3 linked regions of the Stegostoma tigrinum genome follow. The protein of the gene in region 2 interacts with the protein of the main gene of each other region in a biochemical or structural test. Links are inferred from orthologs where the notes say so. Each region holds a gene or a part of one and is shown on either strand. Other genes may lie near its edges. The genes, in order: aptx, xrcc1 and polb.

Region 1 (8,286 bases), on a different chromosome or scaffold from region 2:
ACAAACTTGTAGCATGGATTAGAAAGTTTATCCAATGAGATATCAGTGAAACCGCCAAAGTAAACTTCCAGGTTCAATCCACAGTCTTTGTTCAGCCAGAACAGTAGCAGATGGACTATGACTGGTCTCACTATAGGTTACGAATAAGTCATCTTTTCAAGATCATGAAAAACAGGAGCGGGGTATGCAGCCTTTTGAAAATTCTCCACTAGCCAAAAGGTCACATCACAGCTGATCTGACTGTGGCCTGAGCTCCACTTTCTTGCCTGACTCTTATCCCGCTCATTCCTTGACTGCTTTTTCAATCAAAAATCTATTATTCAGCCTGAAATATATTCAATGAAAAGCCTCCACGGCTCACTGGAGGAAGGAAATTCCATCGTAAATTGAACCTTTACTTTGTAGCTCTCGATTCCCTCATGAAAGAAAGTATCCTTTCAGCGTCTAGCTCATCAAGTCGCCAAAACATCTAATATGAATGTGGATTTCACCAGCTTCAAAATCTCCCTCCCCCCACTGCATCCCAGAACCAGCCCAGCTCGTCCCAGCCTCCCTAACCTGTTCTTCCTCTCACCTATCCCCTCCTCCCACCTCAAGCCACACCTCCATTTCCTACTTACTAACCTCATCCCACCCCCTTGACCTATCCCCTCCCTACCTCCCCACCCATACTCTTCTCTCCACCCATCTTCAGTCCACCTCCCTACTTATTTCAGAATCTTCTCCCCATCCCACTTTTCTGATGAAGGGTCTAGGCCCGAAACATCAGCTTTTGTGCTCCTAAGATGCTGCTTAGCCTGCTAAGTTCATCCAGCCCCACACTTAGTTATCTAATATGGAACGTTCTGCTTAATGTTTCTTGAACAAATTTGATTAAACTACTGACCCTACTCCAGTCCACAGATCCCTTGTATTCAACCCAGTTTCCCAAGGACATTATCTCCATGCCAATAGAGCCATTTTCTCCTCCAGTTTGGTCATTTCAGCTTGCAAATATCTCTAACCTACTGATTTCTAAGCAATATCCAATTTGTTTTGAAGCCGTTGGAAATTTCATACAAAAAAAGTTACCACTCACCTTGATGCCGTGAACATTTTTTATCTGTTATTTTGGTTTCAGGACTCCTTCCAATCATAACACAGACTAAGTGTGCCAGTTGTATTGGTTGGTGCCTCCCATCTTTACTAACCAACCAACAAACTCGCATTATTCTGCAAGACAGAAAATTAGTTACACTCAGAGATATCCCTTATCTTCTAACTGTCCAAGGTCTCTGTATGCCAAATCGTCTCTTGTTCATTATAACCTCCCAATGCTGTATACAATGCATTCAGCTCCAAAGGCCAAAGTTGTGAAATTCCTTCCATGAACCTCTTTATTTCTCTCCTTCTTTAAGGCATTCCCTAAAGTATGTGTCTGACAGAGCTGTTGGCCATTTGTCCTATTACATCCTTACAAGGATCTGTGTTGTCTTGTTTCACAATTGCTCATAAATCACCACAATGTTAAAAACTATAAAGATGTAAGTCTCCATTGTAATGTGTTCAATTATTAAAAACCTAAATCAATTTAGCACTTAAGGATTCATTTATTCTGTACAAATCCACAGCTCCAAAATCAAAGAAATACAAACTAACAGTTTTCTTTAATAAAAAATTGGCTACAATTTAACCAACCAGGACACTGACGTTCAAACCTAATCTAAATGAAGTGCTAAGCAAGCTAAAGCAATAGCACTGGGTAGGAAACAAATGTACTGTAATTTTATAATCATTCAAATTGAAAGCAAGAAGAACTTGCATCTTCTTGCACCTTTCATAATCCAAAAGCAGCTTAAACCTATTGCTTTAGATATGTTGCCACAGCTCTAATATAGGACACCGGACATCTGATTTGTTCATATCATGGTCTCATTCACTCCAGTGTCACAGTGAACAGATTATCTTATTGAGGGGGAGAATGAGGTCTCAAATTAAATATCATTGGAAAGAAATCCCTGATAACGTGACACTTCCTCAGGACTGCGTTAGAGTGTTGTCTCAAGGCTTCTCGTGAGAAGACTCAAACAATCGCCTCCGGAGACAAAAGTGAACGTCTTTCAGCTTACGGGTAACAGCCATTACTTTTGCAAAGCTATTAAAAATGTTTAAAGTGATGCGGCTTAAATTACAACGTGTAGAAGAGCTAACTAGAATGATGACGCAAGGCAGACCAGTCATTCCTGTGCTGGCTGTCTGAAAACACTAGTCCTACTCTCCTACGTGTTTCCTTTTCATGAGTGTACCCAATTTCCTTGAGGGCTATTAATGGACCTCTACCCACGCTCATTGTTGAAGCTAGTCCTACCTGACTGCAGCAGGTCTGACAGTCCCTGGAATCAGTGGGCCCAAAGGCTCCGCTCAGGAAAGCTGTTTAAAAAAAAAACAAAACCGCAGCCAGCTAACTCCCACACCAGGGCCTGGGTAACACTTTAAAGAGCAAACGTGTCACTTAGGTTTCCCACATCGCTCTACGATTTAACTATTTATTTTCAAAAAGCAATTGAAAGTGTTCCCCGACGTGCACTGCGACACCCCAGCTTTAGATCACGCATGTGCAACTTGCGCCGCGCATGCGCGCACCGTAGAGGAAAAGCCGCGTGGACGCCATCTTTGTAAGGCGGGAGCTCTTGTCACTGACCGTCTCGCGAGTGTAAAGGCGACCGGCTTAATGACATAGATAGCTGTATCGGAAGTGAAGTGTCGAAAATTCTTTGTCAAACCTTCTCGGTTCCTTCCCTCATTCCCTGACACAGGTTGAGTGTTCGTTGAAAAAACCAGACGATGTAGCCGTCGTGAGCCGGGGACTGATGGCGAGGAAGAGGATCTGATGAAGGGTCTAGGCCCATAACGTCAGCCTTCCTGCTCCTCCGATGCTGCTTGTCTGCTGTGTTCATCCAGCTCCACACCTTGTTGTATCAGAGAATCTCATTTGTTGTTCTGGTCGCAGTCCCTTTGGTATCATAAACTGCGCTGGCTCTTTGAAAGAGCTTTTCAGTTTATCCCAGATCCTCTGCTTATTTCCGGCAGAAACCTTGCAAATTCCTCCTTCTCAAATACTTACCTGATTCCCTTTTGAAATTCACTACATTTAATCTGCTTCCTCCTGTCTTTCAGGTAGCCCATCTAGGTCATAACTCACTGTTTTTAAGAAAATGTTACCTTATTACTCTTAGATGACACGGTCTGAAGCTGGATGAACATTTTCTGAAGAAGGGTCTCGACCTGAAACGTCAAACTTTCCAGCTCCTCTGGTGCTGCTTGACCTGCTGTGTGCATCCAGCTTCATAGCTGTTATGTTACCTCAGATTCTCCAGCATCAGCAGTTCCTACTATCTCTACCTTAGTACTCTTGTTTTTTCCCCCTCTCCACAAACTGATATGATATTGCCAACATTTTCTCTTTTTAATTACAATTATTTGTTGTTTGGACGATTTAAGAGAGAATTTTGACAAAGACAAACAGGAGGCTGGAAGAACACAGCCTGCCAGACAGCACCTGGAAGAAAGGAGCAGCCAACATTTTGGGTACTGATTGGATTCTAGCATATGCAGATACTTTTTGTCTCTCAACTGAGTAAGACCAAATAATTGGTTGTCATACAGTGGTTAGCACTGCTGCCTGTCAGTACGAGGGACCCAGGTTTGATTCCACCCTCGGACAACCTTCTATGTGAAGTTTGCACATTCTCCCTGTGTCTGTGTGGGTTTCCTCTGGGTGCTCCTGTTTCCTCCCAAAGTCCAAAGATGTGCAGGGTAGGTGGATTGGCAATGCAAAATTGCCAATAGTGTTCAAAGATGTGAAGATTAGGTGGATGGTGGGTCTGGGTTGTATGCTCTGAGGGTCGTTGTGGACTTGTTGGGCTGAAGGGCCTGTTTCCAAGCTGTAGGGATTCTATGAATTTATCTAATATTGATTGCTGTTTGAGTGTTGGCTATGTCTCAAAGTGAAAATGGAAGCTTTAGTAATTAGCTGAAGCATCCGATTAAGCAGTTGGTTCTTGGGTTTGATGTTGCACCGGAGGAGTTAAACTTTGAGATTTTTGCATGACTACTCCACTGGAATTTTTCACAGAATTGCAGTTTGGTGCGGCCTCAATTAGAAGGAATGTTACAGCACAGAAAGAACCCATTTGAATTGTGGTGTCTCTGAAGGAGCCAATCTCCTGCCAGTGGTATAAGTTTTTATATATTTTTCATTCTTCTGTGAGCTGTAGGTTTGTGTGGTGTTTAGTAAGCCAGGAGTTCATTTTTATGTTTGCTTCAATGATAGATTACTGTTTGCATTGATTAGGCTAAGTGTATTGTGATTAGAGATAGAAATGTAAGAGTAGGGAAGTCTTACTGCGACTGTACAAGGTCCTGGTGAGAAAACATCTGGAATACTTTGAGCAGTTTTAGAGATATAGAATCGGGCCCTTCGACCCATGATGTTGTGCCGAACATGACGCCAAATGAAACTAATCCCTCCTGCCTTCCATTGGTCCTTATCCTTCCATTCCTTGCGTATTCATGTGCTTATCTAAAAGTCCTTTAAATGCTCTGATTGTATCTGCCTCCACCACCACCCTTGGCAGTGTGTTCCTGACTCCTACCACTCTCTGCAAAAAAAACACTTGCCTCTCACATTTCATTTGAACTTGCCCACCCCCGCCTTCACCTTTAATGCATGCTCCATTGTATTTGTTATTTCAACTCAGGAAAAGAGATTCTGACCATCAACCTTTTCTGTGCATCTTTATAATTTATAGACTTCTATCAAGTATCCCCTCAGCCTGCGCCACTCAAGAGAAGACAATCCAGGTTTTCCTAGCCTTTCCTTAAGGGTTATGAGGAAAGTGGATTTAGGGAATGTGTCGCATCAGCCATGATGCTGTTGAATGGCAGTGTAGGCTTGAGGAAACTGAATGGCCTACTCCTGTTTGTTCTGGTAACATTTTGTATGAACATAACATTTATTTTGACAAAGAGTAATAAATTAGAGCAAATCAGTGTTATTGACTAGATATTTAGAGTTTTCTCTTTGGGCAGTACCTTCCAAAATAATAGTCACTGACAAGACAATGAAAGCTTATGCATGGGAACACCATCATCTGCTAGTTTTCCTCCAAACCACGCACCATCCTGACTTGTAACTATTTTGCCATCCTTCACTGTTGCTGTGTCAAAATCCCAAATAACAGTGTAACTGTCTTCGCCACATGGACTGCAGTGGTTCAAGATGGTAATTCACCATAACCTTCTCAAGAGCAGTTAGGGACGTGTAATAAATGCCAGCTTAGGCAGTGACGGCTGCATCCCACTACAAGTTTGAGTTTGTCTGTGGAATGTATGCTTTACAATAACTGATTTGAAAATGACAATTCAAAATGACTCATTTGTTTACATATTTTTGATGTAGTGCTAAACTGATTATGTTTGTGCTGCCAAAAGTGTTACCAAAGAATAATTTAAACTCCAAGTTATCTGTATGCCCTAGACTTTGTTAATTGTAGTTCGAAATGTAGCTGTGTATTGTGGCCAATATCTGTTGCTGTAACTGTGAATGATGTATCCATGGTTGACTATTGTAAATGAATTAAAGATTGATTGTATTATGAATTGTACAAGTCAATGCCTTTACTAAATATGGTCGGGGAAATCTTGGATACCAGAACTGAAAAGGGATAAAAGTAGCTCTCTTTTGAGACTATAAAAGAAAATGATGTAACAAGCTATTCACACCAACTCATGTGCTAGCATTTACATTTCCCGCTATACTTTTCTTATTTTTCTTTAGCGTATGTTCTTTTTTTCCCTTATACACATATCAAGCTTTCCCCTTAACTGCATCCATGTTTTTTTCTGCCTCACCTACTCAAAATCACAGAATTGTTGTAACAAAGGAGTCCGTTCAACTGATTGTGTCTAAAGCGGAGCTGCAGCACTTTGAAGTGAGTTTCACATTCCCATCACTCTGGAAGTCACAGGAAATCTACAGTACAGAAAAAGCCCCTTCTGTATCCATGCCAGTCAAAAACAAACACCTAACTCTGTGTAAAGAAGTTTCTTCTGAAGTCTCTATTGGAGTTTTCTGTTATATTTGTGTTGGGCAGCTATGGACACCTCTCCCTTCCTCCCATACCCCACATGCCTTGAAAGCTCTATATGTACCTTATCAGAGTCATACAGTGTGGAAACAGGCTGTCCGGCCCACCATGTCTATATTGATCAACAAATACCTAACTAAACTTGCACTTGGTCCCATATCCTAGTATGCCCTGGTATTTTAAATGCTTCTTGAATATTCAGGCAATTGATAGGAATTGAGGAACCTAAAGACCAAGTATCAACATTGGCTATTTTAAGTTCAGATATTGCATTGGTGGAATGTTGAGTAATGTGCCTTCTAACTTGATCAAATATATCAGATCTGTTCTCATTCCTGAAGCACTTTAAAAGACAACCTGTTGTAGGTTTATCTCAGTTACAACATGGCTGTCATTAGTAATGTCAGTATTTATTGCCCATTCTAATAAACCTTGAGTAGTTGTTGCTCAACTGTCTTCATGGCTGCCTAAATCCATTTTAGAGGGAACTTAAGAGCCAACCACATTGATATAGGTCTGGCGTCAATATAGGATGAGTTGGCAAAAATGGCCACCTTCCTTTCTGAAAGGACATTAATGAATCAAGTGTATTTTGATAACATCAGTAGTTACATGATCACTACCTTTATTCTTAATTTATTAAGTAGCAGAATTTAGTCCACGATTTGCTGTGTTGAGTTTTGAACTCTCAATTTTCGATTTCTTGAAGAAACTGTCTTTTCTTGGTTCTTGTTATCTGTTGACAGAGTTTAAATACCAGGCTGGAAAACACAACAGCACTTAATCGGATGCTGCACTGATGATGTTGCCCAGCAGGGTACTGAAAAGTCTGTGGAACAACAAACCAGCTCAGCAAACCAACCAACCATAACATCCATCACCCGAGCTACAGATCTACTCAAAAACATTAGAATTCTCAATTTCTATCATTTAGGAAGACAGGGACAGCAGGCTTATCAAACATCAGCACTTACAATTTTCACTAACTTAACCTTGAAATGTATTGTTGTTCCTTGATATTACTGGCTCAGATCCTTAAAAGTCACTTCAGATGGTCTGCAGTACATCCAGAAGGCAGGTCACTGCTACCTTCACAAGTAATTACAGATAGGCATCAACGCTGGCCTTGCCGGGGAAGTCCACATCCTATGATTTAATAAAAGTGCAATTTTTCTTTGCTATATCAGTCCTTTTTGATGCGGTAATGTCATTTTATTTATAATAGACAACATTGTCATATTCACTCATGTTTTTTTTATAAAACAAGTGTGTCTACAGAGCATTCCAAGCTTTAATTTTAATTCCAAGTTTTGTTTCATGCAATTCTATTAGTTTTAAAACAGTGACGGAAAAGGATAGACCAGACCTAAAAGTTAACGCTCTAAATGGGAGGAAGACCAATTTTTATGGTATTAGGCAATAACATTCAAAAGTTGGTTGGAAGTAGATGTTCACAACTAAAGGAATAGCTAGAAAATGGAAGCATTCAAAAATGGCATAATGAGAGTCCAGAGACAGTTTGTTCCTGTTAGGGTGAAAGACAAGGCTGGTCGTGTAGGGAATGCTGGATGACGAGAGAAGTTGAGGTTTTGGTCAAGAAAAAGAAGGAAGTGTATGTCAGGTACAGACAGCAGAGATAGAGTGAATCCTTAGAAGAGTCAAAAGGCAGCTGTAGGCGTATACTTAAGAGGGAAATCAGGAGGGCAAAAAGGGGGCGTGAGATAGCTTTGGCAAATAGGTTTAAGGAGAATTCAAAGGGATTCTACAAATACATTAACGATAAAAGGATAACTAAGGAGAGAATAGGGCCTCTTAAAGATCAGCAAGGCCACCCATGTGCAGAACCACAGGAAATAGGAGATACTAAACAAGTATTTTTGTTCACTGTTGAAAAAGATATAGAAGATACAAAACAGGGGAAATAAATACCAACATTTTGTAAAGTGTCCATGTTACAGATGAGGTGGTGCTGGACATCTTAGAATGCATAAAAGTGGATAAATTCCTGGGACCTGATCAGGTGTACCCTAGAACTCTATGGGAAGGTAGACAAGTGATTGCTGGGCCCCTCGCTGAGATATTTGTATCATCGATAGTCACAGGCGAGGTGCCAGAAGACTCAAGGTTGGCTAACATAGTGCTTCTATTTAAGAAATGT
Region 2 (8,026 bases):
TTGAATTTCATCAGCCATTTCCTGGACCACTCTCCTAAACTGTCTAAACCTTTCTGCAGCTTCCCCACCTCCTCAGTACAACCTGCCTGTCCACCTATCTTCATATCATCGGCAAACTTCACCAGAATGCCCCCAGTCCCTCCATCCAGATCATTAATATATAAGGTGAACAGTTGTGGCCCCAACACTGAACCCTGAGGGACACCACTCGTCACTGGTTGCCATTCTGAAAAAGAGCCTTTTATCCCAACTCTCTGCTTTCTGTCAGACAGCCAATCCTCAATCCAAGCCAGTAGCTCACCTCGAACACCATGGGCCCTCACCTTGATCAGCAGCCTCCCGTGAGGCACTGTATCAAAGGCCTTTTGGAAGTCTAGATAGATAACATCTACTGGGTTTCACTATTCTAACATACTTGTTACCTCTTCAAAGAATTCCAACAGGTTTGTCAGGCACGACCTCCCCTGACTAAATCCGTGCTGACTTGTTTTAATCCAACCCTGCAATTCCAGGAATTTAGAAATCTCATCCTTGACAATGGATTCTAGAATTTTACCAACCTCCGAGGTTAGCCTAATTGGCCTATAATTTTCCATCTTTTGTCTTGCTCCTTTCTTAAACAAGGGGGTAACAACAGCAATTTTCCAATCATCTGGGTCTTTCTCAGGCTCCCTCTCCCATTCTCCCCATCCCTCTCCCATTCTCCCCATCTCGCTCCCATTCTTCCCATCCCTCTCCCATTCTCCCCATCTCGCTCCCATTCTTCCCATCTCTCTCCCATTCTTCCCATCTCTCTCTCATTCTCCCCAACTCTCTCCCATTCTCCCCAACTCTCTCCCATTCTCCCCATCTCGCTCCCATTCTCCCCATCTCTCTCTCATTCTTCCTATCTCTCTCCCATTCTCCCCATCTCTCTCTCTCTCATTCTTCCTATCTCTCTCCCATTCTCCCCACCTATCTTCCATTCTCCCCATCTCTCTCCCGGTCTCCCCATCTTTCTTCCATTCTCCCCATCTCTCTCCCATTCTCCCCATCTCTCTCCCATTTTCCCCATCTCTCTCCCATTCTCCCCATCCCTCTCCCATTCTCCTGATTTCTCTCCTATTCTCCCCATCTCTCTCCCATTCTCCCCATCTCTCTCCCATTCTCCCCAACTCTCTCCCATTCTCCCCATCTCTCTCTTATTCTCCCCAACTCTCTCCCATTCTCCCCATCTCTCTCCCATTCTCCGCATCTCTCTCCCATTTTCCCCATCTCTCTCCCATTTTCCCCATCTCTCTCCCATTCTCCCCATCCCTCTCCCATTCTCCTGATTTCTCTCCTATTCTCCCCATCTCTCTCCCATTCTCCCCATCTCTCTCCCATTCTCCCCAACACTCTCCCATTCTCCCCATCTCTCTCCTATTCTCCCCAACTCTCTCCCATTCTCCCCATCTCTCTCCCATTCTCCCCAACTCTCTCCCATTCTTCCCATCTCTCTCCCATTCTCCCCAACTCTCTCCCATTCTCCCCATCTCTCTCTCATTCTTCCTATCTCTCTCCCATTCTCCCCATCTCTCTCTCTCTCTCATTCTTCATATCTCTCTCCCATTCTCCCCATCTCTCTTACATTCTCCCCATCTCTCTCTTATTCTCCCCAACTCTCTCCCATTCTCCCCATCTCTCTCCCATTCTCCGCATCTCTCTCCCATTTTCCCCATCTCTCTCCCATTCTCCCCATCCCTCTCCCATTCTCCTGATTTCTCTCCTATTCTCCCCATCTCTCTCCCATTCTCCCCATCTCTCTCCCATTCTCCCCAACACTCTCCCATTCTCCCCATCTCTCTCCTATTCTCCCCAACTCTCTCCCATTCTCCCCATCTCTCTCCCATTCTCCCCAACTCTCTCCCATTCTTCCCATCTCTCTCCCATTCTCCCCAACTCTCTCCCATTCTCCCCATCTCTCTCTCATTCTTCCTATCTCTCTCCCATTCTCCCCATCTCTCTCTCTCTCTCATTCTTCATATCTCTCTCCCATTCTCCCCATCTCTCTTCCATTCTCCCCAACTCTCTTCCATTCTCCCCAACTCTCTCCCATTCTCCCCATCTCTCTCCCATTTTCCCCATCTCTCTCCCATTCTCCCCATCCCTCTCCCATTCTCCTGATTTCTCTCCTATTCTCCCCATCTCTCTCCCATTCTTCCCATCTCTCTCCCATTCTCCGCATCTCTCTCCCATTTTCCCCATCTCTCTCCCATTTTCCCCATCTCTCTCCCATTCTCCCCATCCCTCTCCCATTCTCCTGATTTCTCTCCTATTCTCCCCATCTCTCTCCCATTCTCCCCATCTCTCTCCCATTCTCCCCAACACTCTCCCATTCTCCCCATCTCTCTCCTATTCTCCCCAACTCTCTCCCATTCTCCCCATCTCTCTCCCATTCTCCCCAACTCTCTCCCATTCTTCCCATCTCTCTCCCATTCTCCCCAACTCTCTCCCATTCTCCCCATCTCTCTCTCATTCTTCCTATCTCTCTCCCATTCTCCCCATCTCTCTCTCTCTCTCATTCTTCATATCTCTCTCCCATTCTCCCCATCTCTCTTCCATTCTCCCCATCTCTCTCTTATTCTCCCCAACTCTCTCCCATTCTCCCCATCTCTCTCCCATTCTCCGCATCTCTCTCCCATTTTCCCCATCTCTCTCCCATTCTCCCCATCCCACTCCCATTCTCCTGATTTCTCTCCTATTCTCCCCATCTCTCTCCCATTCTCCCCATCTCTCTCCCATTCTCCCCAACACTCTCCCATTCTCCCCATCTCTCTCCTATTCTCCCCAACTCTCTCCCATTCTCCCCATCTCTCTCCCATTCTCCCCAACTCTCTCCCATTCTTCCCATCTCTCTCCCATTCTCCCCAACTCTCTCCCATTCTCCCCATCTCTCTCTCATTCTTCCTATCTCTCTCCCATTCTCCCCATCTCTCTCTCTCTCTCATTCTTCATATCTCTCTCCCATTCTCCCCATCTCTCTTCCATTCTCCCCAACTCTCTTCCATTCTCCCCAACTCTCTCCCATTCTCCCCATCTCTCTCCCATTTTCCCCATCTCTCTCCCATTCTCCCCATCCCTCTCCCATTCTCCTGATTTCTCTCCTATTCTCCCCATCTCTCTCCCATTCTCCCCAACTCTCTCCCATTCTCCCCATCTCTCTCCCATTCTCCCCAACTCTCTCCCATTCTCCCCATCTCTCTCCCATTCTCCCCATCTCTCTCTCATTCTTCCTATCTCTCTCCCATTCTCCCCATCTCTCTCTCTCTCATTCTTCCTATCTCTCTCCCATTCTCCCCATCTCTCTTCCATTCTCCCCAACTCTCTTCCATTCTCCCCAACTCTCTCCCATTCTCCCATCTCTCTCCCATTTTCCCCATCTCTCTCCCATTCTCCCCATCCCTCTCCCATTCTCCTGATTTCTCTCCTATTCTCCCCATCTCTCTCCCATTCTCCCCATCTCTCTCCCATTCTCCCCAACTCTCTCCCATTCTCCCCATCTCTCTCCCATTCTCCCCAACTCTCTCCCATTCTCCCCATCTCTCTCCCATTCTCCCCATCTCTCTCCCATTCTTCCCATCTCTCTCCCATTCTCCACAACTCTCTCCCATTCTCCCCATCTCTCTCTCATTCTTCCTATCTCTCTCCCATTCTCCCCATCTCTCTCTCTCTCTCATTCTTCCTATCTCTCTCCCATTCTCCCCATCTCTGTTCCATTCTCCCCAACTCTCTTCCATTCTCCCCAACTCTCTCCCATTCTCCCCATCTCTCTCCCATTTTCCCCATCTCTCTCCCATTTTCCACATCTCTCTCCCATTCTCCCCATCTCTCTCCCATTCTCCCCATCCCTCTCCCATTCTCCTGATTTCTCTCCTATTCTCCCCATCTCTCTCCCATTCTCCCCATCTCTCTCTCATTCTTCCTATCTCTCTCCCATTCTCCCCATCTCTCTTCCATTCTCCCCAACTCTCTCCCATTCTTCCTATCTCTCTCCCATTCTCCCCATCTCTCTTCCATTCTCCCCAACTCTCTCCCATTCTCCCCATCTCTCTCCCATTCTCCCCATCTCTCTCCCATTTTCCCCATCTCTCTCCCATTCTCCCCATCCCTCTCCCATTCTCCTGATTTCTCTCCCATTCTCCCCATCTCTCTCCCATTCACCCCATCTCTCTCTCTCATTCTTTCCATCTCTCTTCCTCCCAACCCAATCTCTCTCCTCATTCGTTTTGGTTTGGGGGGGGCCTGCCAGTCACAAAGATGGCGGCGGCCTTGCCTGTCTCACGTACTGGCGCTTTAGTCTAACCCTTGACCTTTGCTATCCTGGCGCCGCCCGTCCCCAAGAAGGAAAGAGCCGAAAGTAAAAAATGTCCCTCATTGTGACCTGAGACTCGCTCTGCGATGACAGCGGCAGGAATGCTGCTTCAGATTTTTTTATTTGAACGCTATTCAAATCCGAAATAAGTTTTCCGTCGAGGAGCGGGGAGTGTGACCCGGAAATGGAATGCAGAGGGTGAGCCCGCGGCGGGAAGAGGCAGGAAAAAAAATGGACGAAACCCTTAAGTGTTTAAACCTCGCTTAAGAGACGTTTTCATCGCTGCTGCGCCGATCCATGAGGAAAACCCCCTGTTAAATATTGCCCCCTGTCACTCCCGAGGGGTTTTCAGCGCGATCCTGAGATTTTTTTTTGTTTTGACTGTCACATCGAACAAAGTCCACACAGTCGCATTTTTTTTTTTAGCCATTTGTATTCTCCCCCTCACACCAGTTTGCAGGATGCCCGAGATCAAGCTCCAATATGTCGTGTCGTGTAGCAGTGAAGACACGGTGAGCATAACCTCCATCCCTTACCCAGCAGACCGCTCACTTCACCCTCTTGGCCAATGTTCGTCAGGCAAGTTGTTGACCTTTGGGATGGCACTTGACGCTCTTGTGTCATTGCCTGTTCTGTTGGCACCTCCAGGACGATGCCTGTCGCTCGGCCCCTTTGGGTGGTGTTGGCGCTGGTAGGGCTATCCCTCGGACCGCCCCTCTGAGAGACCCCCGTGTTCAGGACCTGGCTTTCCTTTGTGCAACTCCACCTCCGAAATGGTGAAGCGGGCACGACCTTCCGACAGGGAGCTGCCCGTGGGTTGAAACAGGGCATTTCCTACGAGGGCTAGTATTCGTGCGTTGGGCTGAATGGGTGTCCAGCCATTCTGGGATGTGAGGGAGCGGGCACTGTCGGAGGGTCAGTGCTGAGGGAGCGGGCACTGTTGAGGGTCAGTGCTGAGGGAGTGGGCACTGTCGGAGGGTCAGTGCTGAGGGAGTGGGCACTGTCGGAGGGTCAGTGCTGAGGGAGAGGGCACTGTCGGAGGGTCAGTGCTGAGGGAGTGGGCACTGTCGGAGGGTCAGTGCTGAGGGAGCGGGCACTGTCGGAGGGTCAGTGCTGAGGGAGCGGGCACTGTCGGAGGGTCAGTGCTGAGGGAGCGGGCACTGTCGGAGGGTCAGTGCTGAGGGAGTGGGCACTGTCGGAGGGTCAGTGCTGAGGGAGCGGGCACTGTCGGAGGGTCAGTGCTGAGGGAGCGGGCACTGTCGGAGGGTCAGTGCTGAGGGAGCGGGCACTGTCGGAGGGTCAGTGCTGAGGGAGCGGGCACTGTCGGAGGGTCAGTGCTGAGGGAGCGGGCACTGTCGGAGGGTCAGTGCTGAGGGAGCGGGCACTGTCGGAGGGTCAGTGCTGAGGGAGCGGGCACTGTCGGAGGGTCAGTGCTGAGGGAGGCGCCGCACTGTAGGAGGGTCAGTGCTGAGGGAGTGGGCACTGTCAGAGGGTCAGCGCTGAGGGAGTGGGCACTGTCGGAGGGTCAGTGCTGAGGGAGTGGGCACTGTCGGAGGGTCAGTGCTGAGGGAGTGGGCACTGTCGGAGGGTCAGTGCTGAGGGAGTGGGCACTGTCGGAGGGTCAGTGCTGAGGGAGTGGGCACTGTCGGAGGGTCAGTGCTGAGGGAGTGGGCACTGTCGGAGGGTCAGGGCTGAGGGAGTGGGCACTGTCGGAGGGTCAGTGCTGAGGGAGTGGGCACTGTCGGAGGGTCAGTGCTGAGGGAGTGGGCACTGTTGAGGGTCAGGGCTGAGGGAGTGGGCACTGTTGGAGGGTCAGTGCTGAGGGAGTGGGCACTGTCGGAGGGTCAGTGCTGAGGGAGTGGGCACTGTTGAGGGTCAGGGCTGAGGGAGTGGGCGCTGTCAGAGGGTCAGTGCTGAGGGAGTGGGCACTGTCGGAGGGTCAGTGCTGAGGGAGTGGGCACTGTCGGAGGGTCAGTGCTGAGGGAGTGGGCACTGTCGGAGGGTCAGTGCTGAGGGAGTGGGCACTGTCGGAGGGTCAGTGCTGAGGGAGCGGGCACTGTCGGAGGGTCAGTGCTGAGGGAATGGGCACTGTCGGAGGGTCAGTGCTGAGGGAGTGGGCACTGTCGGAGGGTCAGTGCTGAGGGAGGCGCCGCACTGTCGGAGGGTCAGTGCTGAGGGAGCGGGCACTGTCGGAGGGTCAGTGCTGAGGGAGTGGGCACTGTCGGAGGGTCAGTGCTGAGGGAGCGGGCACTGTCGGAGGGTCAGCGCTGAGGGAGTGGGCACTGTCGGAGGGTCAGCGCTGAGGGAGTGGGCACTGTCGGAGGGTCAGTGCTGAGGGAGTGGGCACTGTCGGAGGGTCAGTGCTGAGGGAGTGGGCACTGTCGGAGGGTCAGTGCTGAGGGAGTGGGCACTGTCGGAGGGTCAGTGCTGAGGGAGTGGGCACTGTCGGAGGGTCAGTGCTGAGGGAGTGGGCACTGTCGGAGGGTCAGTGCTGAGGGAGTGGGCACTGTCGGAGGGTCAGTGCTGAGGGAGTGGGCACTGTTGAGGGTCAGGGCTGAGGGAGTGGGCACTGTCGGAGGGTCAGTGCTGAGGGAGTGGGCACTGTTGAGGGTCAGGGCTGAGGGAGTGGGCACTGTTGGAGGGTCAGTGCTGAGGGAGTGGGCACTGTCGGAGGGTCAGTGCTGAGGGAGCGACGCGCTGTCAGAGGGTCAGTGCTGAGGGAGTGGGCACTGTCGGAGGGTCAGTGCTGAGGGAGGCGCCGCACTGTCGGAGGGTCAGTGCTGAGGGAATGGGCACTGTCGGAGGGTCAGTGCTGAGGGAGTGGGCACTGTCGGAGGGTCAGTGCTGAGGGAGGCGCCGCACTGTCGGAGGGTCAGTGCTGAGGGAGCGGGCACTGTAGGAGGGTCAGTGCTGAGGGAGTGGGCACTGTCGGAGGGTCAGTGCTGAGGGAGTGGGCACTGTCGGAGGGTCAGTGCTGAGGGAGTGGGCACTGTCGGAGGGTCAGTGCTGAGGGAGTGGGCACTGTTGAGGGTCAGTGCTGAGGGAGTGGGCACTGTTGGAGGGTCAGTGCTGAGGGAGCGGGCACTGTCGGAGGGTCAGCGCTGAGGGAGTGGGCACTGTCGGAGGGTCAGTGCTGAGGGAGTGGGCACTGTCGGAGGGTCAGTGCTGAGGGAGTGGGCACTGTCGGAGGGTCAGTGCTGAGGGAGTGGGCACTGTCGGAGGGTCAGTGCTGAGGGAGTGGGCACTGTCGGAGGGTCAGTGCTGAGGGAGCGGGCACTGTTGAGGGTCAGGGCTGAGGGAGTGGGCACTGTCGGAGAGTCAGTGCTGAGGGAGTGGGCACTGTTGAGGGTCAGGGCTGAGGGAGTGGGCACTGTTGAGGGTCAGTGCTGAGGGAGTGGGCACTGTTGAGGGTCAGTGCTGAGGGAGTGGGCACTGTCGGAGGGTCAGTGCTGAGGGAGTGGGCACTGTCAGAGGGTCAGTGCTGAGGGAGTGGGCACTGTTGAGGGTCAGTGCTGAGGGAGTGGGCACTGTTGAGGGTCAGGGCTGAGGGAGTGGGCACTGTCGGAGAGTCAGTGCTGAGGGAGTGGGCACTGTCGGAGACTCAGTGCTGAGGGAGTGGGCACTGTTGAGGGTCAGGGCTGAGGGAGTGGGCACTGTTGGAGGGCCAGTGCTGAGGGAGTGGGCACTGTCGGA
Region 3 (8,555 bases), on a different chromosome or scaffold from region 2:
TGGTCTGTCAAGTCCGCACCAATGCTCCAAAGAGCATTACTCCCCTCCCACCAACCCATTCCTGCAGCCCTGCATTTCCCATGGTTATTCTACCTAGCCTGCACATCCCTGAACACTATTGGCAATTTACTTTGGTCAGTCTACATAGCCTGCACATCTTTGGGCTGTGGGAGAAAACAAAAGCACCCAGAGGACAATCAACGCAGACATGGGGAGAATGTGCATATTCCACACAGTCCTCCCCAGGGTGGAAGTGAACCAGAGTCCCTCAAACTGTGAGGCAGCAGCACTAGCCGCCCAGCCACTGGGCCATCTAAATGCTAGCATTTTGGATCTATGCGTGAGGACACCCAAATCCTTCTGTGCTGCATCTTTCTCCACTTATTCAAATAATATTCAGCATTTCTACAAAAAATAAAAACCAAAGAACGAGGTTCCGCATGGCAGACTAACTGGTTAAGTTAGATGACATGGGATTCAGGGTGAGCTTGCCAACTGAATACAAAATTGGCTTAATGGCAGGAGACAGACATAGGTGGTGGAGGGCTGTTTTTTTTCAGATTGGAGACCTGTGACCTGTGGTGTTCCACAGGGTTCAGTGCTGGGTCCACTTTTGTTTGTCATTGATATGCGAATACAGAGAGCATTGTTAATAAGTTTGAGGATGACACCAAAGCTGGTGATATATCAGATAGTGAAGGTGGTTATCTAGGATTACAAAGGGATCTCGATCAATTGGATCAATGAGCTGAAGTGTAACAAATAGAGTTTAATTTGGATAAATGCAAGTTGTTGCATTTTGGTAGGTAAAACAAACAAAGGCAAGACTTATACTATTAAAAATAGATCTTGGGTAGTGTGGGAGAAAAGAGAGAACCAGGAATCAGGTACATAATTCTTTGAAACTGGCATCATGTAAAATTAGGGTGGTTAAGGTGTTCAGCATGCTTGCCTTCATTGCTCAGACCTTTATATTTTGGAGTTGGGACGTTATGTGGCATTGGTAAGGCATCTTCTGGAGTACCATGTCCAGTTCTGGTCTCCTGATACAGGAATGATATTATTAAACTGGAGAGGGTTCAGAAGAGAGTTACCAGGATGTTGCAAGGAACAGAAGGTTTAAGTTATAAAGGAGATGCTGGATAGGTTGGAACTTTTTCGACTGGAGCGTAGGAGGTTAAGGGGTAACCTTATAGAGGTTTATAAAATCATGAGGAGTATAGATAAGGTAAATGACAGGTGTCTTTTCCCTTGGGTGGAGGATTTCAAGACTGGGGACATATTTTTAAACGGAGTGGAGAAAGATTCAAAGAAGACTTGAGAGGCATTTTGTTTTTTTAACAGAGAGTGGTTCATGTGAGGAATGAATTTCCAGAGGAAGTGGGGGATACGGGTACAGTTACAACATTTAAAATACATTTTAAAGTACATGAAGAAGAAATGTTTGGAGGGATATGTGCAAAGTGCAGGCAGGGGGGACCAGTTTAATTTGGGATTGTGGTCGGCATGGGCTGTATGGACCAAAGAGTCTGTTTCTGTGCTGTATGACTCTATAACGCAGATGCTAAAAATCAGAAACAAAAACAGTATTTGCTGGAAAAGCTCAGCAGGTCTGACACCATCTGTGGTATAATAACATTATTTCATGAAAAATAAAATCCACAAGAACTGCAGGTGCTTTAAATCAGGAACAAGAGCAAAAATTGCTAGAAAAGCTCAGCAGATTGCTCTTTTGGTCCTCTTGCCAAACTAGGGAGAATGGAAGATCTGAATATTATTTAAATGGGGAAAACCAGAGAAAGTTGCACAATAGATGAATTTGGAATTCTTTTTCATGAATCACAAAATGCTGATGTCCAAGTTCAGTGGGTAAAAGGGAACACAATGGATTATTGGCTTTTATTTCAAGGGGAATGGAGTATTAAAAACAGAAAGGTCTCGTTAAAACTATTCAAGGCTTTAGTCAGCCCACATCTAAAATATTTTGAACAGTTTTCATCCCCTTATCTAAGGAAAGATGTACTGGTGTTGGAAGCAGTCAAGTGAAGGTTCCCTGGGTTGACTCTGGGTATGAAGGGATTTTCTTATAAGGAATGCCCTGCCTGCAATAGTAGTAGACTCACCAACTATAAGGGCATTTAAATGGTCAGTGGATAAACATATGGAAGATAATGGAATAGTGTAGGTTAGATGGGCTTCAGATTGGTTTCACAGGTCAGCACAACATTGAGGGCCGAAGGGCCTGTACTGTGCTGTAATGTTCTATGTTCTATTAGGACTGTACATAACTAAACGTTTCCTCACTTACACTCCATCTGCCGAGATCTTGCCCACTCATGTAATCTCTCCACGTCCCACTTGAGACTGTATTATCCTCACCACTCGCTTTCCCATTTATTTTTGCATCATCTGAAAACTTGGTTACTGTACACTCATTTTCTGCATCCAAGTTGGTATCATATATTGTAAACAATTGTGGCCCTTGCAATACTCCAGGAGTTGCTATCCTGAAATTACCCCCCTCATCCTAACTCTATTTCAGTTAGTCAGCCAATCCTCTATTCACACTCAAAACAAAGGGTCTAGACTCTTCCCAAGAAGGGTCCAGACCTGAAACGTCAGCTTTCCTGCTCCTCTGATGCTGCTTGGCCTCATGTGTTCATTCCAGCTCTACACCTTGTTATCTCAAAACAACAGACTCCTCGAAATGTAGTCTAATGAGGTACTTTATTAAACGCCTTTTGGAAATGGTGCGCATCTGGTTTATGAGTGGGTTCAGGCTGTAGCTCTAAAAATTCAACATAGTATTAGTATCAGGGTAGGTATCGATTTCGGGAATGGATTTCGGGTTAGAATTATGATTAGCTGCTTTAGCTGGGGTTTAGTTTTACGTTCTGCTTTGGGTTCAGGGTTAAAAATTTGAATATTGCAAAGATTTAAAAATGGAGAAACAGTAAGGCCCGCTTTCAACACCGGCTGGGGAAGGTCTGCACTGTCCTGACATTCCTTCTCGATTAATGACAACCCGATTTCCCTAGTTCTCCCTGAGGATCGGAACGACACATCGATCCCAGGCCACCGCTGCCTCTTCCTCCCTTCCTCTTACCGATTAGGAAATCGGTGATCCCCTCGTTGAGCGTCTCTTGCGGCGCTTTCCTCTTGCTCATGGTGGCGAAGGACGATAAAGTAACCAGGCAACCTAACGCTAGCCGTCACTTCGCGTGACCGTCGGCTCTGACAAGGCTCTCCCCCTCCAAAACCCGGGGATGTCCTGTCAGGAAAAGGCCAGGCTTCAGCCGCGCTGCTAGGCCGCGTGCGCGCGACCAACGGCCAGCTGGGATTTAAACCCGAACGGCCGCGCGCGTGACCCAACCGTCACCCAGATTACAGGTACCATCAAAACTTATTTGTGGCAATGTACAATCACGTGTTGTTTTAACATAGGCATCCCGGAACAATTATTGTTTGATTTACTTTATTTTGCGCTCCGTTTACACATTGAAATTATAGGATTCTTTTCACGAATGGCCGTGGAGACAATGAAAGTTCCTCACCCCACTGTTCAAACCATGTTGTTTTCCCCAGGACATTCGTCATCACCAACCCCGACCCTTTCAAACGACTTGCATATTGTGTGTGTGTCCGTCCAGAAGTGCTCTTACACACAACTGAACGATTTCCCCGCCCCATCACCAAATCACCCGTGTCAGACTCGTATTTACATAGCATCTTTTATTATCCCATAGCCAATGCCTCCATGTGAGAATGTAGTCGAATCAGAGTGAAAGGGGTTCCTGGCGTGGGCGTTCTTGTCATTTAACAGGCCACTTCAGGGGTTAATTCCGTTCCCCCCCGTCTTCTCTGCTGGCTCTCTGCCTCATTAACTCGCGAGACAGAAAGCTGGATGGCCGATTCAGCACGAGTAAACTCCTCCGAGTCGCTAATATCAATGTTTCTGGGCTTCCAACAGTGCCTCAGATTAATTTACTCACAAGATGTGGCCAGCACTGGCTGGACCAGCTCTTATTCCCCATCAGCAATTGCTCGAGGAGGTAGTGCTGAGTTTGCTGTGAAGAGCATCATTTGACCTCTCCAGTAACGGCAGTTGAGAAAACAGAACCTGAAGAGGTTTGGGGAGGGGAGGAAGTAATACTTAAGAGTTAATGTCCTGCTGATCCTGAAGCTCCATTTTGAAGTATACTAGATGATTCAGACCAGTATAGGTCAGTCAGAAGCTTTACTAATTTTGCTTCTGCTGATGGGAGAAACACTTTAAAGCCCTCTGTCCACAGTGTCCACACGAAAATTTTGATTTTTGAGATCGAGTTCTCATAACAATGTAATGCTGGCTAGATCATCTATTCTCACAATATCGGCTGAAGGATAAATTAGCCAAAACTGCAGGGAAAACTCCCCTGTACTGCAAAGCAATCTTTTATATCTACCCAACATATTTAACATTTCATACAACAACTGTGCAGCAACATGGAATACCAGTCTTAATTTTTGTACTGAAGTAGGTCCTGAATTATGATCCTAACTGATGGTAACATTGTGAAGTCTGATTTGAATCTATCCAATGAAACCTAAATTGATAAACCATAAATTTTATTTCTGTATGTTTTGGGCTCTCTGATGAAGTGTCTAGGCGCGAAATGTCAGCTTTTGTGCTCCTAAGATGCTGCTTGGCTTGCTGTGTTCATCCAGCTCCACACTTTGTTATCTTGGATTCTCCAGCATCTACAATTCCCATTATCAATGATAGTAGGAACTGCAGATGCTGGAGAATCTGAGATAACAAGGTGTAGAGCTGGATGAACACAGCAGGCCAAGCAGCATCAGAGGAGCAGGAAAGCTGACGTTTCAGTCCTAGACCCTCTGGCTTGCTGCAATGTTCCAGTGAAGCTCAGCACAAGCTGGAGGAACAACACCTCATTTTCCGCTTGGGGACACTACATCCCTCTGGACTCAATATTGAGTTTAATAACTTTACGGCCTAAACACCCCCATGTCCCAGCCCCCCCACCCCACTCACCAGGCCTTGTTACCACATAGCCCGTCACTATACACCCTCTGTTGTTAGTCACTAACAGTCCCCATTAACAACTGTTCACCCTCCGAGCCTGATTGTTAGCAATTCTTTTGTCTGTCCAACTGTCTTCCTCTCTCTTTGGGCTCTGTCTTATTGTTTACTCCCTACCCCACATACCTCCCTATTTTCTGCATATAAACTGACATTTTCGCAGCCACCATCGGTTCTGAGGAAGGGTCACCAGACCCAAAACATTAACTCTGTTTTCTCCTCCACAGATGCTGCCAGACCTGCTGAGCTTTTCCAGCAACTTTGTTTTTGTTGCCTCTGATGCTGCTTGGCCTGCTGTGTTCATCTAGCTCTATGCCTTGTTATTAAAGAATATCAATGTTTATTACACACAACAGGGGAAAAATACATACAAGAACTGTGAAACATTTTTTTAAACAATTCAGCCCTTTATCCTCAACAGTAAAACAATATCTTACAGACATTCAAAGTCCAGTGAAAATTCAGTGAAGATTTTCAAGTTTCTTGTTGCATTTAAGTGGTTGGACTTGGCTTCTTTGCAACAAACTTCTGAATTCATTCAATGCTACTTCTTCAACTATTACCTCTTCCCAAGAGTTTTAAACAAACTGCTAACGCTCTTCACTTATTTCCTAACATAGATTTTTTAAAACTCCTATTCCACAGACTTCTGTTTCTGGAGCTTTCTCTTCCTGACAATATAACCACTCGAGATCTTTCTCCGAACACCACTTTGCACACTGCTAGGTTAACAAGGACTTTACAGACATAGACCTGTCTTCTCTTGCAGAAACCTGTACACCTCCTGCCTGGCTCGCTCTTTCTAAAAGAGCTGGTTCCTGTCTATGTCTCTGTCTTTGTCTCCCTGTGTCATAGGGCAGCTTCTTGCTAGACAACAGCACTTTTTCCCCCACACCCTTGTTTTATTAAAGCACTGAACTCTTCATAGAGTCATACAGCATGGAAACAGACCCTTTGGTCCAACGTCATCCATGCCACCCAAATTACCCAAATTAGTCCTACTTTAAATGCATGTTCGTATGTTTCCATATATCCTGTTCACTGAACTCAAAAATGAAACTTAAGTCCTTCCTAACATACATAATGAAGAAACTGAAGGCCCTTCCCAATTTAGATTGCAAGTCTCCAAAGGAAATCATGAACTTTCATCACAATTGAACTAGTTTCCTCCTGTAACAGACTGTTTTCCACTGACTGAGCTGCATCGGAATCAAGTCCCTTTTTGCAAAAAAAATTATAAATATGTGGACCATTATGTTGATTACAGCAGCTGTTTGGCCTGTTCCCATGTATGTTACAAGAGAACTACAACTTGACAAAGTAGCGCAACTGTTGATCGGAGGAATTCCATTTCTAACAAGCAATCCTATTTTACATTCAATATAGTCTAACATTATTGACGCTGTTTTTTTGGAATGTGAATGGGAAATAACATTTTGAATATGAAAACCATGACTGTATAATTAGAGATATAAAACCAACCTGCTGAATTATTTTGCTTTTGACTTGAATAGTTAGAAACTTACATCCTCATTAACATGTTGCACGTAAATCTAAGCAGTGTTATATCCTTAAGTGTGCAGCGTTATGGACCAGACCAAAACTCAACATTCAGAACATAGTCTAAACTCTAACTTTTTTTTTATTTTAAGGTTAACGTTAAGTGTTGCATTTCAGATACAATTCGCTTGGTTAAACTACCAGATTTAAAGCAAAACACATTTTATGAGAGTCATAGAGCTTTACAGCATGGAAGCAGACCCTTCTGTCCAACTCGTCCATGCCAACCAGATATCCTAAATTAATCCAGTCTCATTTGACAGCATTTGGTTCATATCCTTTTATACCCTTCTTATTCATATACCATCCAGTTGCCTTTTAAATGTTGTAATTCTAACAAACTCCAAATGTCCAGAGATATGAGATACTAGATAGCAAAGGCAGCAGCTGTGCAGGTTACTGCTGTGTCAAACTGCAGTGTAAGTTTCTTTCTCCATTTGAATCACTGTTTTTGTCTCTCTTCCTCCTTTTTAAAGTGACATTGTTTTGATTTTATTTTCCTCCCAAAGTTCCAAAACAATCGAACAGCTTAAAGAATAGCAATTATTGCTCCTAGAATTTGAGGAAATCAGTACCAACACTGAAAATACATCAAGGGAGCAGCTCCTACAGCCGTAATGTTTTTCCCATCCTCCATCTTGAATTACCTAGAGTTCCAACTTTTTAAAACAAAACCTCAAGGCCATACATGCACTTTAGTCTAGTAGTTCTGCTAGACTGCTCGATATCCCGCCTTAAAACCTCTCTTCAAAAAAAACCTGCACAAAATAACCACTGTTAAAGCCTGCTATCATCACAATAACCAGGTACCAGTTATCATGATGATTAAGCGCAGTGAGGGACAGAAGAAATGTACAGCCACTGGCCCCAACACTCTTTTACATGATGACATGAAACTGGTCTTGTCCAGGCAATGAAAGATTCAAGAGAGAGCGAACCTAACAATTTCACCTTGAAATGCAATTGCATTACCGTGAATACCACGCAGGCACAATTACCAAATAACAGCTACAGACCAAAAACACAAATGGACCTATGACATAAAAGCAATGGCTACAAGAGCAGGTCAGATGCTGGGATTTTATGGCGAGTAACTCACCTCTTGACGTCCCAAAGCCTTCAAGAATCGACAAAGCTCAAGTCAGGAATGTGATAGAATACTCTCTCCTTGCCTGGATGGTGCTGCCAACTATAATGAAGAGCATTTACACCAATCAGTCCATTTGACTGGCAGCCCATCCACCATCATTCACTCCCTCCACCGTTGAAACACAGTGGCAACAGTGTGTACCACTGACAAGATGCAATGCAACAACTCAAGGTGGCTTCAGCAGCACCTTCCGAACTTGCAAACTACCACAAATATGGACAATGGTAGCAGATGATGGAAACACCACAACCTGCAAGTTCCCCTCCAAACCACTCACCATCTTGATTTAGAACCATATATGAAGCTATTCCTTCACTGTCACCAAGTCAAAATCTAGGATCCCTCTTGCAAACACAATTCTAGCTGTATTCACACCACATGGACTTTTGCAGTTCACCATCACTTTTGCAAGGGATTAGGGATTCACACAGAAGCTGATTTGACAGCTGATTTCACTTTCCACGAAATCATGTTTTTAAACACATCTTCAGGACAACCTAGAAGCATTACACAGCCATCGAGTACTTTCAAATTACATTTAAAAATTAAACAAAAAGAAAACATAAACTCAGGATCTCCATAGCTTTGTGACCTGAAAATGAATGAGTTTTAATTCAACAAAAATGAGGATATAAGGGTGAGAAAATCTCAGGACAGCATATTTTTGGGCAAGGAAAAACAATGTGGGAAAATAACACATCACCTTGATAAATATTATCGATGTGTTGTGCTGTTTGTGCTTGTGTAATCTTGTTATTATCA

Evidence for each region.
Region 1: the proteins of xrcc1 (region 2) and aptx form a complex in vitro, tested with the Homo sapiens proteins (2 studies listed by BioGRID). The link is inferred for Stegostoma tigrinum from reciprocal best matches to the Homo sapiens genes XRCC1 and APTX.
Region 3: the proteins of xrcc1 (region 2) and polb form a complex in vitro, tested with the Homo sapiens proteins (5 studies listed by BioGRID, with this or other methods). The link is inferred for Stegostoma tigrinum from reciprocal best matches to the Homo sapiens genes XRCC1 and POLB.

The regions. Positions count from the first base shown.
Region 1 is NC_081356.1:29,976,841-29,985,126, forward strand, and holds the start of aptx (aprataxin), read right to left. Parts: upstream 3,293-8,286; 5' UTR 3,202-3,292; intron 2,943-3,201; exon of another isoform or gene 2,763-2,942; intron 2,601-2,762; exon of another isoform or gene 2,348-2,600; intron 1,213-2,347; 5' UTR 1,209-1,212; coding exon 1,079-1,208; intron 1-1,078. UniProt on the Homo sapiens protein: DNA-binding protein involved in single-strand DNA break repair, double-strand DNA break repair and base excision repair.
Region 2 is NC_081394.1:5,015,567-5,023,592, reverse strand, and holds the start of xrcc1 (DNA repair protein XRCC1), read left to right. Parts: upstream 1-4,515; 5' UTR 4,516-4,794; coding exon 4,795-4,845; intron 4,846-8,026. UniProt on the Homo sapiens protein: Scaffold protein involved in DNA single-strand break repair by mediating the assembly of DNA break repair protein complexes. Negatively regulates ADP-ribosyltransferase activity of PARP1 during base-excision repair in order to prevent excessive PARP1 activity.
Region 3 is NC_081393.1:16,183,001-16,191,555, reverse strand, and holds the start of polb (DNA polymerase beta), read right to left. Parts: upstream 3,340-8,555; 5' UTR 3,168-3,339; coding exon 3,107-3,167; intron 1-3,106.